Coturnix japonica: one gene and its partner. The protein of the gene in region 1 purifies or fractionates together with the protein of each later gene. This does not show direct contact. Links are inferred from orthologs where the notes say so. Each region holds a gene or a part of one and is shown on either strand. Other genes may lie near its edges.

Region 1 (8,356 bases):
TTACTTTGTAGACTTCAAAAATATCCAAAATAAAGGTTTTAGTCTTGACAGTTTCAGTAAAGCAGTATCAGTTTCTTCCTTCATCCATCACAATTTAAAAGTGCTCTCTTTTTATTGTTCATTTAATATTTATTTCCTATTATTGACGAAGTACTTCACAAATGCAGGCATTTGCAAGTATTGTTCCATTAGGTGTAAGTACTATACAGAAAGGGGATACTTCAGCAGTATTCTTGTATGTGAATGTTGCCATTCTGTGCTGGGCTTTTGTTTGTATTATTGTATGAAATTACTGCTGTTAGTTCTGAGCAGCTCTCCTTGAATTTGCCTGGGATCTGACAGTGAAGCAGCAAATGCAGTTAAATAACACAGTGTGGAATCATTCAAGTCTCACAGTTTGACTTTAGATTTGTTCTTAAGAGCAGCTTCCCATTTCTTTTTCTCTAAGGTGTACAGTCTCATAGCTGCTTGTGCATCCTGAATCTGAAAGAAAACAGAACAGGAGGCTTAACTTAACAAAACATGGCTTGACATGACTTAAAAATGTTATTGTTCATAAACAGTGAAATCTTTCATTTTAATACATCCTTTCAAGTAATGTTTCATAATCTTCTATATTCAGATATTGACTGACTAGTGGAGGGAGGTGAACGTGTAAGGTGCCCATACAATGCTGTGCAATGCTCTCTCTGATCATGACTTGGAAAATCATTATGAGAAAATAGCCTTGATTACAGCACCTTGGAGATACCTGCATAACATGCTCATTTTTTCAACTCCTTTACCTGTTTCAGTGGATAAGAGAGGCTATAACTGCTGAGAGTAGGCTCTCACTACTGATGCATTTATTTCTATCCTCTTCAACACAGAGCAACAGTGCAGCGTGCTGCTTTTAATGTAAGCAATTTGACATTACTTTTCTCCCTGGGGATCTTAAAATAACAAGAACTAAAACAAGAATCAGTATTTAAAAATATGGTTGACTTGTGAAAAAGTAGTTTATGAAAGTATCCAAGTGGTGTAAGAAAACTTAGATAGAGTGTAAGAAAACTTAGATAGCAACCTTTTTACATGACTGTATCCAAGCAGAGCTTGCTGACTTTCATTGAGAGGTGAGAATGAAGGCATGGGATTCCAGAATGAACTCTGATCCCAGAAGCAATGTGTACCATGCTGTCAATCTACCCATAAAAGGCTACATTGATGAGATACGTACCGAGCAGTGCTCTGATGTCTGCACTTTAACATCTAGAATTCTATCACAGAGCAGCTTCAACGATGGCCGTGCGCACTAGAAATATAAAGATTAAATCACGCTTTATCACGCTGCTTGAATTATGTATGTGTATATATACAGCTTCCCTTGGTGAACTGGCAAGGAGAATTAATGAATTATGAGGCTTATGCACATCTGTTTGTCCTGCTTAGAGGATTGTCTATGTGGTCCCATAACCCTGAGGTTTAGGTTTGAGGTGTTTTACTGTGAAAAACAGAGTATGTAGTTATGAAAAGTAAAATAATGTCCTATGCTGTTTCTTCTGGAGTCCAAGTAGAAACTTGAAACCATCTATTTTTTTAATATCCATGTGCAAATGACACTATTAAGAGTATCCAGTGTCCTTACTATAAATGTAAAATCTTATTTTGCTATTCCAGAAGAGCGTTATGAAGACCATGTACATGCTAAGGAGTGGGAGGACTGCTGAACCTTGTGCAGAGGTATTACAGGTAATACTTACAGCTAACAAAGTAACACTGCTATACTTCAAACAGTAACCAAGCATTCAGTTAGACTGGTATTTTCAACCAACAAAAAGTTGATATCTCTGTTTCAGGTTGGAAAGAAGAAATGGGGACAAGTGAGGCAAGCACAGGAGTGAGTGGGCTAAAAGCTGGGAGTCGGCAGCTCTGGTGTCAGTTAATCAAGGTACTCCTTTCCATCACTTTCTTACCATGACTCTCTGTCTGAAAGGTTTGTATTTTTGCGTGTCGCGCATTTTCTTCTTAGGATGATCAAGGAATAAGACCTGAAAGAAATCACATTTCCAGCGTAAAGAGTGATGCTACACAAAAACTGATACAGCTGAATACACAGCTTCCTGCTCTTCAGCATCTAAATCAGTGCTATTAAGATCAGTGTGCAAGCTGAAGAACTTGGTGTGCCAGCAAACAGGGCTACACTTGGTACAATGTGAGAGGACAAGAAACTGAGCTAACAGCTAAAAAGCAGCAGTTCCTATGAGTTTAGGTGTGTTATTTGACTGATCCAGGAAGATGAATAATAAATTCACTGATTTTCAGTGTTTGGAGCTTTGTCTTCATAGCAACAAATCTGCAGCTGTGTTACCTTTAGGTCATTGTGTAATGCATGCCCAACTAATATCCTTCCATTCAAGATATCAGCGACCTCCTTCTGAACTGTTTTAAAGTCTTCACCTAAAGATGAGATGGAACACTTGGCATTAGACACACAAAACATCTAAGCAACCTACAACCAGAATATGGCATCTTTGTTGTGAAGACAGCGTTATACCTTATGGGACTGTGGTTACACAAGTTTGTGCTGTACAATCAACCCTCAGCTTGTTACAAGAGCCTACCTGTCTTTAGATGCTCAGGTCGTATGCCGCTAACAGCTGTCCTGTAATCCGTCACCTCTTCTGTAGGCTTGACATACTTGTCATAAATGCACTTTCCAAACCGGTTCACAATGGACACACGAGCCACAATGCTGTCTTCGCCGTTGGGTCCCACTCCCACCATCTCACAGTCCATAGCTACAGCTCTTGTAAGGCTGAAAAAGAAAAAGACAACTCAGTGACGCATCTCTTTACAGGGACCACACAGCAGAGCTGCGAGCAGCAGACTCAGATGTCAGCTTAAACTTTGTCTACAGCCATTACAAGCTAATTGTGATGCCTCTGCTGCTGTGTCTCCTGCTTGGAACACCACTCACCCTCCAGAAGACTTCTCTTTAACCAGCACCTGCTCCACAGTCCGTTTGGGTTGGCCTGTTTCAAGTCCCATTTTCCTTCTAGCAACTTCTGCTGCTTCAGGTCCTATTGCTGCTTCAATATCATTTGGATCAACATCATCAAACCAGATGTCGGGCCTGGTAAGTATAAATTTAACTGTGTTAAATAGTCTTAAAGTGACAGTGCATCTCCACCATGCACAAAAAGCACATTTATCTTTTAAAATCAAGAAAGCAGCTATCTCAAAAGTAGTCTATGCTGTTATCTATGCAGATTTATTGTGAGGAGGGGCAGCATTCATCTTCTGTTGCCCACATTCTAGCCTGGAAGAGCACAGCTATTTGGAACGTATTTCATTGTACACCTCCTAGAATACATTACCATGTGCTGATGCTTGAAGTACTCACTCTTTGGGCTGCTGTGCTTTATCGTCAGCTTTCCTCTTCTTATGTTTCACGTCGCTCTTCTCCTTTTCAATGCTGCCGTTTTTCCTTTTCTCTTTGCAGCCCTTCCCATTGCTTTTGATGCCGTTCACACTCTTGTCCTTCTCATCTCTCCTGCCTTTGGGCTCAGCCATAGGAGCGCCACCATCAGCAGAACTCTTGGCCCTCTGATCTGTGTGTTTAGGCTTTGAATTCTTGTCAGTTGCAGCCTTCTTGTGTTTCACCTTGCCCACAGGAGGGCTGTGTGCATTCAGACCCCCGTCCTTTTTATTTGTGGATTTGGGTTTCAACACGTTTTGATCCCCAGTGCCAGCTGGGACCTGTTGGCTGTTTCCCTCTTTGAGTGGATGCTGCTTCTTGGTGGATGTTTGAGATGAAGGGAGAGTCTCATTCGAGGCACTTGCCTTCTGCTTCAGTAGCTAAAAGAGCCAAAGAAAAGAGGGGGGGAAAAGGAGAGAGAGAGGGATTATCTCCTTGATCATCATCAATTCTCCCCCGATATCACTGAAGCAGAGCAGGGCTCTGGCTGGCTGCAACGCCCCATCCCCCGCGGGTTATTATTACACATAAAAAGTCCTTCTAAATGATTACACCCAGATCGGAACCGAGTTAATGCAGAGCCCGGCATCCAGCCCTGCTCGCCCTCACCTCCTGCAGCGCCTTCCAGTTGGAGGAGAACTCCTGCGGGCTGCGGGGTATGGCCGCCACCGTGGCCGCCTTCGGGCCATTCTGCGCGGCCATCCCCGCCTGCTGCCCGCTGCCCCGCCGGCCTTTCCTCCTCCGACCCTTCCCACCGGCCGCCCCCTCGGGATCCGCTTTCGCCATGCGGAACCACGGCGGGGAAACGGTGCAGCACCCGGCGGGGAACGGCGGATCGAGCTTTGCGTTCCGCTGCGGGGCCGGGGCTGTGCGGGCACCCCCTGGTGGTCAACAGAGGGGAGAAGCCAGCGGTGCATGGAGCGGGGTGTGCGTCCTGCGGGACATCGCCCTGAATCACAGTGCTCAGTCTGTGCTGAGGTTTGGCGAGCAGGAACGCGGAGTTCAACAAATCAGAGCCCTTACCCCGCACAAATTACTCCTTGTTTATTTGGCTGCTGTAGTTGGCCCGAAGCTGCTTCTCTTCGCTGCGCTCCTTGGCTGTAATGAAGTTGCAAATGTTGTGCAAAAAGCTCTCCCTCTCCAGCTGTTCCTGTAAATCCTCCCACAGCAGTTCAATTCCCCCTCGACTGTCCCCCTCTGCAGTCGATCATCTCTCCTGTTTATTTAAACTCTGCATGCTTTGCTTCCGTTCCACGTGATGCCTCAGACCAAGCATTTTAATCACCCCTGGGCCAGAGATTGCTCTGCAGCACTGCTTGCAGTCCCTCCAGCATGATCATCAGTCTGACCATCCGAGTACTCATAATGTTCCCTCTGGGGTTTTGCTGGCCCTCCATCCTCCAAGAGGTAAGCCTGACCTCCAGAAAGCTCCGTTTCCAGGAAGCCTTGTTTTATTTCTAGGAAAAAAAGAAGAGAAAACACACCGTGTTCTAAGCCAAGATGTATCAGACTTCACTAATCAAGAAGATAAAGCTATTTCCTCCGGGTGGCCGTTGTGCAGCGTACGCTTAGTGCAAAATAAAACCATTAGACCTTGGCATCCATACTTGTTAAATTGTTTGCTGACGTCCCTTCCAGGTTCGTTTCGGTTAAATAATAACTTTGTGTCCATTTGTTTTCCCTAAAAAACGTAAAGCTATCCTTCTTCTTGCAGAGGTTTCTCAGAGCTTTGGATGCAGACGATGTTTTCTCTTATTTTGGAACCAGCTCAGCGTCTGATGGTATGCAGAGCTCTTTCCTTCTTGATTTTGGAACACATTTGTCAGTTTATTCCTAATCCCGTACATTTGATAACGCTAAGAACACTTATTAACTAACCCTGCTCTGACAAGTATTTAGCATTTCTGAGTTGCGTTGCTCGGTGAGGTAATCCATGTCTCAGTGTGTAAGCAATTGAAGAACTGGGCCAGTGTTTAAAATCTGCTTAAGGAGCTGTGATAAATCTTTTCCATCCGTGGTCCTTATTTTCTGTACCAGTATTTTTCGACAAGGTTAACAGATCTAAGTCATCTGAATGGGAAGGCATAGACTGAGAACAGCTTTAAGTGCACTTGTTAACGTTTTGAAATGCACAGGTGGAACGTTCTAGGTCTGGATTGTTCTGGATAGTTCAGCATAAAGGTACATTTTGAACTGTCACATTCTTAAAGCAAGGATGCTGTCACTTTGTGAGTTCACCTACTGCTGTTCCCAGCACCTCTGTTCGGGTTATGGTAATTCTCAGTAATATTTAACGTCTGAGGGAGCAAATCTATCTCAGCCTTTGCCAAATGAACTGTTCTCATTGACGAGGGAGAGAAGCACAGGTCATTCAGGAGCCAGTTCCAGAGCTATTGTCTGTTCCCAGTCTGAGTACTCACATTGGAATAGATGAAGTTCTTTGCCTATTGACAAAATGAGGCCATAGCTGTCATTCAGAGAATAATTTTTCCTAAGAAGGCAGATCATTACATTTCTTTTCCATGTATTGTTATTTTTCATAACTATTTCCCTTGTTCTTTTTGTTTGTTTGTTTGTTTTGTGTCTTTCAGTACCTGAGTTTGTTGTTGCTCAGCCAGATTGCCCTTGTAAAGAAGAGCAGACTGGGCTGATGTGTCAGATCCAGCACTGCTCCATTAAGGCTTGGGGAGAAGTGTTCACCTTCGAATTTCTAGAGGACCATACCCTCCTTTCCTCTTCCTTTGTGATCAGCCAAGTGGTGAACTCTTCCTTTAGCTTAATAAAGCGATTCTCAGGCAACTGCTTTGCAGGTGGAAATCTGTTGGCACCTCCTGGGGCTGAGTGTAGAGTCACTTACTGTGAAGGGCAGCTGGTGAGTATGCACTGAACTTATCAGCTTTTCTGCCAGCGTTTACAGCCTTTTCAGGCTTGCAGCTTGAAACCCCAAACACGTGCGAACCATCCATTTAATAAGTCTGAGTGTTACTAAGAAGAAACAGGAAGGATATGGCACACGGTTCTCCATTGTAGCAAGTGTTTGCAATAACTCAGAGGTGGAATTTCATCTCCTCTAGCAAGGAGTCATTGTTACAGATGAAGAAAAGATTCACATCAGGCCTGTCAGAAGAAAAGATACGGCCCTGCTGAAGGATCTTGGCTTCTCCAGACCCCACATTCTCTTCAGACAAGCTGCAATAGGGGCAAAAAAAGCAAGAGGTAAGATGTATGGAGAGAAAGCTCTGGGTGGTTCTGCTTTGACAAACTGTCTTCTGGTAGTGTGGTTGTTTAAGTGAGGAGAAAGAAGAAGGTTTGCATCTGCAAGTATATGATTGTACTTGATGTGTGTTACTCACCTTGCTGAGTTGTAAATAGTGTGCATTTTCCATTAGGTGTTTATTATTTTGATAATACAAACTTGTTATCAAGGATGAAGACAGGGGAAAGAAACCATCTGAAATGGGAAACTTAGGCAAGTAACCACAGAAATGGTTTTCTAGCAGAAGTATTTTAGTCTTTCAGGAAAAGAGAATGGACTTATAGAATCTTCTATGCTGCCTGGCATTTTAAACTCTGTGTCTCTTTCTGTTGTTCTGCAGGGCACTTTGCTTCTCGCCTACAAAAGAGGGCTGATGGAACTGTCAAACATCTGGAGCTGATGGTTGTAGCAGGTCCTGATGTTTACATGTACCACCAAGAGGACACAGAGCGATATATTCTTGCCAACCTGAACATTGTGAGTGTAGCTTTCTGTTTGGATTGCTGTGAGCTCTCCCAGTGTTGCTAACAGATTCAGTTCTGTGAGTGTTCCTTCAGAGGTCTTTGCAGTTCTCTGCTCCTATCAGGGCACTGCTTACTTGTAGGGTGTTCCTCTGTGTCTCTTTTGGACTGTACAGCAAGCTTACCTTTATAGAAGGAGCAGCATGAGTAAAAGTGAATGTTAGAAGATCTTCATTCCATTACTAATCTAATTCCATATGTAATATCAGGCAAGAGTTTATACACGTCACATCCTGGTGATTTTGTTTTTGTCCTTATATTTACCAGATGTGTTACCTTTTTAGTGAGTAAACTCCTGTAAATGGGAGCAGATACTGAGAGTCGCTGAGGTGACTATTTGATGGAATCCTTTCTATCACTTGACAGGGGGCAGAACTGCTGCGAGATGCCTCACTGGGTGCTCATTTAAGGGTTCATTTGATGCAAATGCTCGTTTTGAAGGAGCCGGAGGTAAGCAGGGAGGATTCTGTCCTAGCATTGTCTGGGGTGGGTTGCTAAGCCTGTATGCAATGTGCAAACATATGCTTTACCTGTAGATTAATGTGAATATCACAACAAACATCACCTCCTCGCTGATCAGTGTTTGTGAGTGGAGCAAGAAGGTCAACCCCCAGAATGACTCTGATCCCCAGCATGCCGACATCGTCCTGTATGTGACCAGGTACTGTAATTCTCATACCCTCTTAGAGGCTGGAAGTCAGGCAACTGCTGTCCAGTCACCAGCACAGTGACACTGATTTGCACAGAGCCTTTGAAAATGAGTCAGTTCTTCTGTTTGGGGTTGATTCTCCTGTCCTTAGTGTAGTTTAGCATTCATGGGACTCCTACCATCCTGCCCAAGGGAGTTCTGTATTCCCAGAAGAAATGCTAGCTAGCAGTAAAGTTAGGTCAGAAAAGTGCAAATAAGTTGGTATTATATATCTAGTCTTGACTTTATTAGTTGCAGTGGTTCTTTGCTTTTACTTCTGGATGTGTCTCCCTTACTTTAGGTTTGATCTGGAGTTACCTGATGGGAACAAGGAGCTACGTGGAGTGACTCAGTTAGGTGGGGTCTGCTCCTCCTCCTGGAGCTGTGTTATTACCCAGGACACTGGCTTTGACTTGGGAGTCACCATAGCCCAC
Region 2 (7,247 bases), on another chromosome or scaffold:
ACACAGAAACAAACCAAAGCTTTTCTCACCACAAAGATACCTTGCACTCTGACAGAGCAGCCAACTTCTGTCTGATCATCTACTGTACAGAAAGTAAGCAAGTATTAAGGAATTAAGCACACACATGCACAAATGTGGTTATGTATTACTATAATTCACACTGAAGAGACAGTAAGTTTGCTAAGAAGAGTATGAACTTTCATTCAGTTCTTCACTTATATCTGTTCTTCAGTGCTTACAGTACAAAAGGTCTGGTGTTGTCAGTAAACCTAACAGTGATTTCTTTCTGCTACACAACAGAAGTCTATCCATACATAGACCATGAAATTTCTGTGTGAGGTAAGTAAAATCTGGCTTTGCCAAGAACTACAGCAAAACCACCAAAGACTTCAGCTCCATCAGGGTTTCACTCATGCCCATTAAGAAGTCTGAGTCTTTGAAAAGATGTAAGAAGCTTTTTCAATCTTATTCCCTAGTAATGTATTAAAACTATATGCTGTATTTTTTTTAATGCTTTGAGAATGTGTATAACGTTCACTTGTGACACATTGCAAAGACTTACCTAGACTGATGGAAGTATAATATTGATTAATAGCAAAAAAAAAAAACCAATCCAAACTGAATCAAAATAGATTTTCTGTTTATTACTAATTGCGACTGTCCAACCACATGCATAAGTGCACAGGAACAATTCCTTGCTTCCAGCAATGAAATATACAGCAAAGGGAGGGGGGAAAAAAGAAAAACAAAAAGGCATTAAAAAACTCACCTTTGAACTCAGTTTTAGGCCAAGTGTACTGAGTGCCGAGTTTCCTGGCAAGGATCCCCATTGCAGCAAACAAACAGACCTGTTTACTGATTTGCAAGCACCCATATAGCAAATTACAGTTCCTGGAATACATAAGAAAGCTGGAATGCAACTCTAAAACAACAGTTCCCAGAAATTGAATTGCTACATTATGGGCTTTTTTTTCTTCTTTTTCTTTTCTTAGCAAGTTCAGGCTATCAGATGAAACAACAAGTCCTGGTATGTGCTCCTACTGCTGTTCTAGTGACACACAGTAATCATAAACTCTCAAGGTAACTTTGGAAGTGTAAGAAATACTAGCGATTGCATCCTTCCACTCCTAGTCATTTATATGAACGCTTTGGGGCTTTGAACAAATATTAACCAAAAGAACTCAGAGTTCACTGCATAAGAACAAAACTCAGGAGAGCACAAGGATCAGCAGGTAGGTATTGACCAGACTGCCATTCAAAAGTACAGACGTATGCTTGAATCTCATCTAATAGTGCACATACATCCCTTCAAAGACGCATCTTTAAAGTTAATTTCATCTGTAATTCTAGGTGAAAAAATAACGAGGTCCAAGAAAGAGCATAGCCTCCAGTGCAATGCCATCTTGTGGTAAAAGGAGAAAAGGTATGCGTCATCTGCTCCAATTCTTCCATAGTGTACAAAACACACTCAGAATTGTTGACTTGGGAGTGGAAAAAAACGAGACTTTATCACAGTTAGAATTATAAGTACATTCATCTCTATTTACAAGCCTAGCATTTTATTTACTTCCCCAAAACACTGCTCTGCCGTTAGAGTCATTTCCGTCACTGCAGACATTATGTATCCGTAGAGATGTGATTTAGCTTAGTAGAAATGTGTATCTTGTGTAAAAATTCCCATAACTTCCTTGGCCACAACTAGACGCCCCCTTTAGCTTGTTTTGAGGGTACATGAGTCAGCTCGAAATGTCATGGCCATGCAGGCCACATCCCTGTAAAAGGATCCTTCCAGACCTCATTTATTTAAAAATAGCATGGCAATATCTCTGACCCAGACAACCTTTGGGTGCACGGTGTCACCTCACTTTTCACTGTGCTTCATGAGGCACCTGCCAATCCCACTATCCAAATGCTGTTCCCCTTCTTCCTTCACCAACAGCCCTGCCCTCAGGGTCACTGTCAGTCCTAGTGGGGCTGGAATATCACAGAATCACAGAATGACCCGGGTTGGAAGGGACCTCAAGGATCATGTAGTTCCAACCCCCCTGCCTGGCAGGGCCACCAAACATACACATTTACTAGATCAGGTTGCCCAGGGCCCCGTCCAACCTGGTCTTGAACACCTCCAAGGACGGGGCATCCACAACCTCCCTGGGCACCTGGGGAGGACTATATGGGACTTGAATTTTGGTTCTGCGGCTAGAACTTTTAGACATGGCTGTGCCGCAGTGCTGCGGGCACCTGAATGTTATGGAAATTTATGCTGTGAAAGAAATGTATCTATATTATTTACAAATCTGTGAGTCTTAAACCTGCTTGATGTTTGCGTGCTATCACACACACCACCCACAGTGGCTGGCAGAGCTGTGAGGCCGTTTGCTCACCCTGGATGCTGCACATTCAGTCACAGCCCTGGCCTTCCGTGATACCACGGGGCAGCAACACCTGACTTTCACAGACCCTCACTCCAGCCCTGTCCCATGCTGGGGCTAAATGCAATGCCTGCTTGGCAACCACCACACAGCGGGGCGAAGGACTGTGGCAACCACCACACAGCGGGCTGAGGGACTGTGGAAGCCGCTGTGCCCGGCATGGTGTACTACATCTCCCATGGGGCGCTGAGGCCCGTATCTGTGCAGCCTACATTTCCCGTCATTCCGGGCTCTGTACGCAGTTCCGTCGCACTGACCCGTATTGCTGCGCCGCGCTTCCTGCGCTCGGGCGGCCACACGCGGTCCGCCACCATGGCGGCCGTGCGAGTGGAGGAGGTGCTGGCGGCGGCGGCGGCCCAGGAGCAGCAGCAGGCGCGGAGCGTGCAGGTGGAGAAGGAGCTGGAGCTGGAGTTCGACCTGGGCAACCTGCTGGCGCTGGACCCCAACCCGCCTCCCGCCGCGGCGCTACGCGGGGCCGGGCCGCAGCGGGAGTCGCGGCTGCGGGCGCTGGCCCGGGACAACGCGCAGCTGTTGGCGGCGCGGCTGTGGGAGCTGCCGGCCGAGCGGGCGGACGGGGCGGCGGGGCCGCTGGTGGCGCGGCTGCCCGAGCCCGCGTTCCGCCTGCCCCGGGAGAAGCCGCCGCCTCGCCCGCGGCCCCCCACGCGCTGGGAGCAGTTCGCCCGGCTGAAGGGCATCCGGCGCCGCAAGCGGACCTCGCTGGTGTGGGACGAGGAGGCCAAGGAGTGGCGGCGGCGCTGGGGGTACCGGCGGGCGGGCGGCGACCCGGCCCGCGCCTGGTTGGCGGAGGTGCCGGCGGGCGCAGACCCGAACGAGGACCAGTTCGCCAAGCTGCGGCACGCCAAGAGGGAGCGGGTGGCCCGCAACGAGCTCAACCGGCTGCGGAACCTGGCCCGAGCGCACCGCCCCGCCGCCGCCGCCCCGCTGCACCCTACGGGCCACCAGAGCCGGCAGGAGCTGGGCCTGGTATCGCGCGTGGCCCGCGTCTCCACCGCCTCGCTCGGCCGCTTCCAGCCGCGGCTGCCCAAGGAGCCGGCGGAGCCGCCCTCCCGCGACGGCGGCAAGAAACGGCGCTTCCAGCCGCTGCTGGGAGACCTGGCGGCCGAGCGCGGGCGGCAGCTGGAGCTGCTGCGGGGCATGAACAGCAAGAAGCCGGCACTGGACATCACCCGCGCCGTCAACAAGCAGCTCCGCGAGGAGGATGCCGAGGCGGCCGCCGCCAAGGGCAAGAAGCGGGGACAGCGTGGAAAGCGGGGCCGCCGGCAGCAGCGGCCCGGGAAGAGGAGCGGAGGCGGCAAGAAGGGCGGCGCGGCCCGACGGCAGCAGCAGCCAGCGGGGGGCGGTGGCAGGAGGAAGAAGGCGTGAGGGACTGTCTGCATGCAGGCTGCAAAGGGAACAGCGCCGTGGGCACTGAGGGACTGTATGCGAGGGGTGCAAAGGGACTGCTCCACATCCACCGCTGTGCAGCCCGCACCTCTGTCAATAAACACATTTTGGTGTTTGAAATGTCTTGTGCACGGCTCCTGTGGGAGGGCTTGGGGGTGGCTGGGCAGCAGCTCCTGTGTTCTGCAATGGGGAGGTCCTTGAGGAGTGGTCCTTGAGAGCAGCTCAGCAGAGAAGGACCTGGGGGTCCTGATGGACGAAAGACTTAACATGAGCCAGCAGTGCGCTCTGGCGGCCCGGAAAGCAAATGGGATCCTGGGCTCCATCAGGAGAGGGGTGGTCAGCAGGGATAGGGAGGTGATCGTCCCTCTCTACTCTGCTCTTGTGAGGCCCCATCTGGAGTACTGTGTCCAGGTGTGGAGCCCTCAGTACAAAAAAGATATGGAGATTTTGGAAAGGGTCCAGAGGAGGGCCACGAAGGTGATCAGGGGGCTGGAGCACCTCCCCTATGAGGACAGGCTGAGAAAGTTGGGTTTGTTCAGCCTGGAGAAGAGAAGGTTGTGGGGTGACCTCATTGCAGCCTTTCAATACCTGAAGGGAACTTACTCCCAGGAAGGGAGTAAACTCTTTGAAAGGGCTGACACGGGGAAATGGTTTTAAGTTAAAAGAGGGAAGATTTAGGTTGGATGCTGGGGGGAAGTTCTTCACAAGGAGAGTGGTTAGGCCCTGGAACAGGCTGCCCAGGGAGGTTGTGGATGCCCCGTCCTTGGAGGTGTTCAAGGCCAGGTTGGACGGGGCCCTGGGCAACCCGATCTAGTAAATGTGTATGTTTGGTGGCCCTGCCAGGCAGGGGGGTTGGAACTACATGATCCTTGAGGTCCCTTCCAACCCGGCTCATTCTGTGATTCTGTGAGGTGCTGAAGCAGGTCCAGAGAAGGACAACGAGGCTTGTGAAGAGCTGAGCGGTAGCGCTGCAGCCAAGTCCCCCGGCGTCCCGCCCCGCGGCTCCTGAGGGGTGTTCCCGGCCGTGCCGTCCCAGCGGGCCGTGCAGCGCCATGGCGGCCGGGCGGGAGCGGGCCGTGCGCCTCCTCAGGCAGCTGCAGCGGGCGGCGTGAGTGCGGGCGGGACGGGTGGTTGAATGCCTGCAGGAGGTTCTGAGGGATTCCTTCGGGTGTTCTGCCTTAGTTTTACCTTTAAAACGGCACTTCAGTACTTGTGTTGTGTTCTTTGTGTGTTCTTTGTGTTTTTTCTTTCCTGCTATCCAGATGTCGGTGCCCGACTCACAGCCACACTTATTCCCAAGGTATGGTTTAAATCGCGTGTGTGAAATAATTCTGCATTGAGACTGTGGCCATTGTGTACACGTACTGCCTGGGTAGAGGGTGCATGTAACAGATAGAAAAGAGAGCAGAGAAAGCATAAGGTGAGCAGTCGCTTATTTTGCAGCTGTGCGATAATAAAGATTTTTGTTGGAGAGATCCCATGTCTCCATGTAAGCTGCAGTCAGTGTGCTCTGTCCTCCTTCCCCCTGCTGAAAGGCAGGCTGCACAGAAGCTGCTGCTGCTCATAGAGTGTCACAGCATGTCCTGAGTTGGAGTGGACCCACACAGATCACTGAGTCCAATGTGTGAGCTGACTCTACACAGAACCACATAAAAACAAAACCCTATGGCTGAGAGCGCTGTCCAAATGCTCTTTGAACTCTGGGCAGCTCAGGGCCGCGTTCACTGCCCTGTGCAGCCCGTTCCGTGCCCACCGCCCTCTGGTGCACACTCTGTCCCTAGCCCTACCCGCTCCTCCCCTGACACAGCTCCATGCCGTTCCCTGGGGCCCTGTTGCTGTCACACAGAGCAGAGCTCAGCGCTGCCCCTCAGCTGTGAGGAGCTGCAGCTGCCATGGGATACAGTAGATACAGTTTCCACTAGAGTTGGTATTTGGGCCCCTAATTTCAGTGATGAGTGCTTCTGAGTGGTTTTGATTCTTGTGCTTTACTGGAGACACTTTTTAAAGAGTTACCATTGCCATTTTGCTCGTGGAAAAGCTAATAGATGTTCAGGTAATGATTTTGTCCAAAGACCATCATACTGCAAGAGAAAAGCACAGCTGAGAAATAAAACCTCATTCTTTTCTTATTACTCCCACAGTCAATTCAAACTAACTAGAAATCTTAATTAAGAATGCTCCAATGCTCCCTAAGTTTTAGGCAAAAATTGGTTGTATAAAGTAGCAAGATAATACCAGTTCCATAGATCTATAAATAACAGGAATTGGCTTAACAGTGACTAGCAAGAAGTCCAAATATATTTATTGTTCATTGTGACTGTGGGCAGTGTGGAGGGAAGTGCCACAGTTTTTGAACTCACCAAAATTCTTCCTGTAAGTGAAGTTTTGCACAAGAAAATAACAGCAGGTCATCTATTATATCATCAGAAAGCGAGTGAGTAAATCTCTTGGACATGTTCTTAGCTTGTCAAATTAATGACTGGGTGTACAGCACATCCGTGCTTCAGGAGAGGTCAAACATGTACAGCCTGGCAAGAGATGGCAATGAAAGAGCGGACAGCAGCTGGCCTGGGCTTGAATAGAACGCACATAAAGGATTTTAATACATCTATCTGTTACTGTTGTGGGTCAGTGCTTCAGTGCACCCCAGAGTGTCTGTAAGACTCATTATGGCTTCACTCATTGGATCTGAATCCAAATCACATTTCTTTCAATTAATATAGCAGACAGAAGGCATGACTTCAGCTGGAAGAGCAGAATGCCTCATCTGATCTTTTCTTGGAGAAGAATGGGCTGTTTCAGTTGATGTGGTTCGTTTCACTTTGTGACAGCATCAGGATATGCAAAAGAGAGTACTGTGAAAATTCAGGGGGGAATGACATGGCAAAGAGGAGACATGATTGAAGTACTGTCCTTACAAATAGTTTTTCTGCTGAATAATGTCGATAGTAAGATGGATTCATATCAAAGCTCTATTTATTATCAGCTATGCATGCAGTTCCTTAATTTTCAGGCAAGTAGTTCGGTGTCAGCTGTAAGTTCAGGACAAGTAAGAAGTAAAAAGAAGTATAAGCACCTATCATAATAGTTTCCACACACACAAAAGGCACTTTCAGTTCAGAGGTATGTGGATGATGTCTCCTGTTTTTGTCCTGCAGGCTGTTCAGAAGGTTATCACGTAGGCCCTGTGCATTTGTAACAACTCTCAAACAGTGTGGAGCATCCTGTATGCCCTGCAGATGCTCAGCTGCACACATTTATCATACATGCATAAATATCCATCAATTGTTCTTGTGCAAATTTCCTGCTAACTTATTCAGTTTGTATAGGGAAGAAATCTTAAGGAAATAAAAATTATCTTGAATCATATGATTCAAAAGAACTCAAACGATTCTATGATTCTAAGTACTG

Evidence for each region.
Region 2: the proteins of REXO4 (region 1) and RRS1 purify together in Homo sapiens (co-immunoprecipitation; 3 studies listed by BioGRID and IntAct, with this or other methods). This does not show direct contact. The link is inferred for Coturnix japonica from reciprocal best matches to the Homo sapiens genes REXO4 and RRS1.

The regions. Positions count from the first base shown.
Region 1 is NC_029532.1:5,443,661-5,452,016, forward strand, and holds the start of REXO4 (RNA exonuclease 4), read right to left. Parts: upstream 4,284-8,356; 5' UTR 4,244-4,283; coding exon 4,067-4,243; intron 3,838-4,066; coding exon 3,383-3,837; intron 3,113-3,382; coding exon 2,957-3,112; intron 2,795-2,956; coding exon 2,601-2,794; intron 2,437-2,600; coding exon 2,348-2,436; intron 2,028-2,347; coding exon 1,953-2,027; intron 1,292-1,952; coding exon 1,217-1,291; intron 484-1,216; coding exon 391-483; 3' UTR 1-390. Other genes in the region: ADAMTS13 (A disintegrin and metalloproteinase with thrombospondin motifs 13), read left to right, coding at 4,790-4,864, 5,172-5,238, 6,049-6,329, 6,532-6,673, 7,054-7,190, 7,601-7,684, 7,771-7,895, 8,224-8,356.
Region 2 is NC_029517.1:104,229,142-104,236,388, forward strand, and holds RRS1 (ribosome biogenesis regulatory protein homolog), read left to right. Parts: upstream 1-2,677; 5' UTR 2,678-2,744; coding exon 2,745-3,815; 3' UTR 3,816-3,956; downstream 3,957-7,247. Other genes in the region: ADHFE1 (hydroxyacid-oxoacid transhydrogenase, mitochondrial), read left to right, coding at 4,889-4,944, 5,099-5,136. UniProt on the Homo sapiens protein: Involved in ribosomal large subunit assembly. May regulate the localization of the 5S RNP/5S ribonucleoprotein particle to the nucleolus.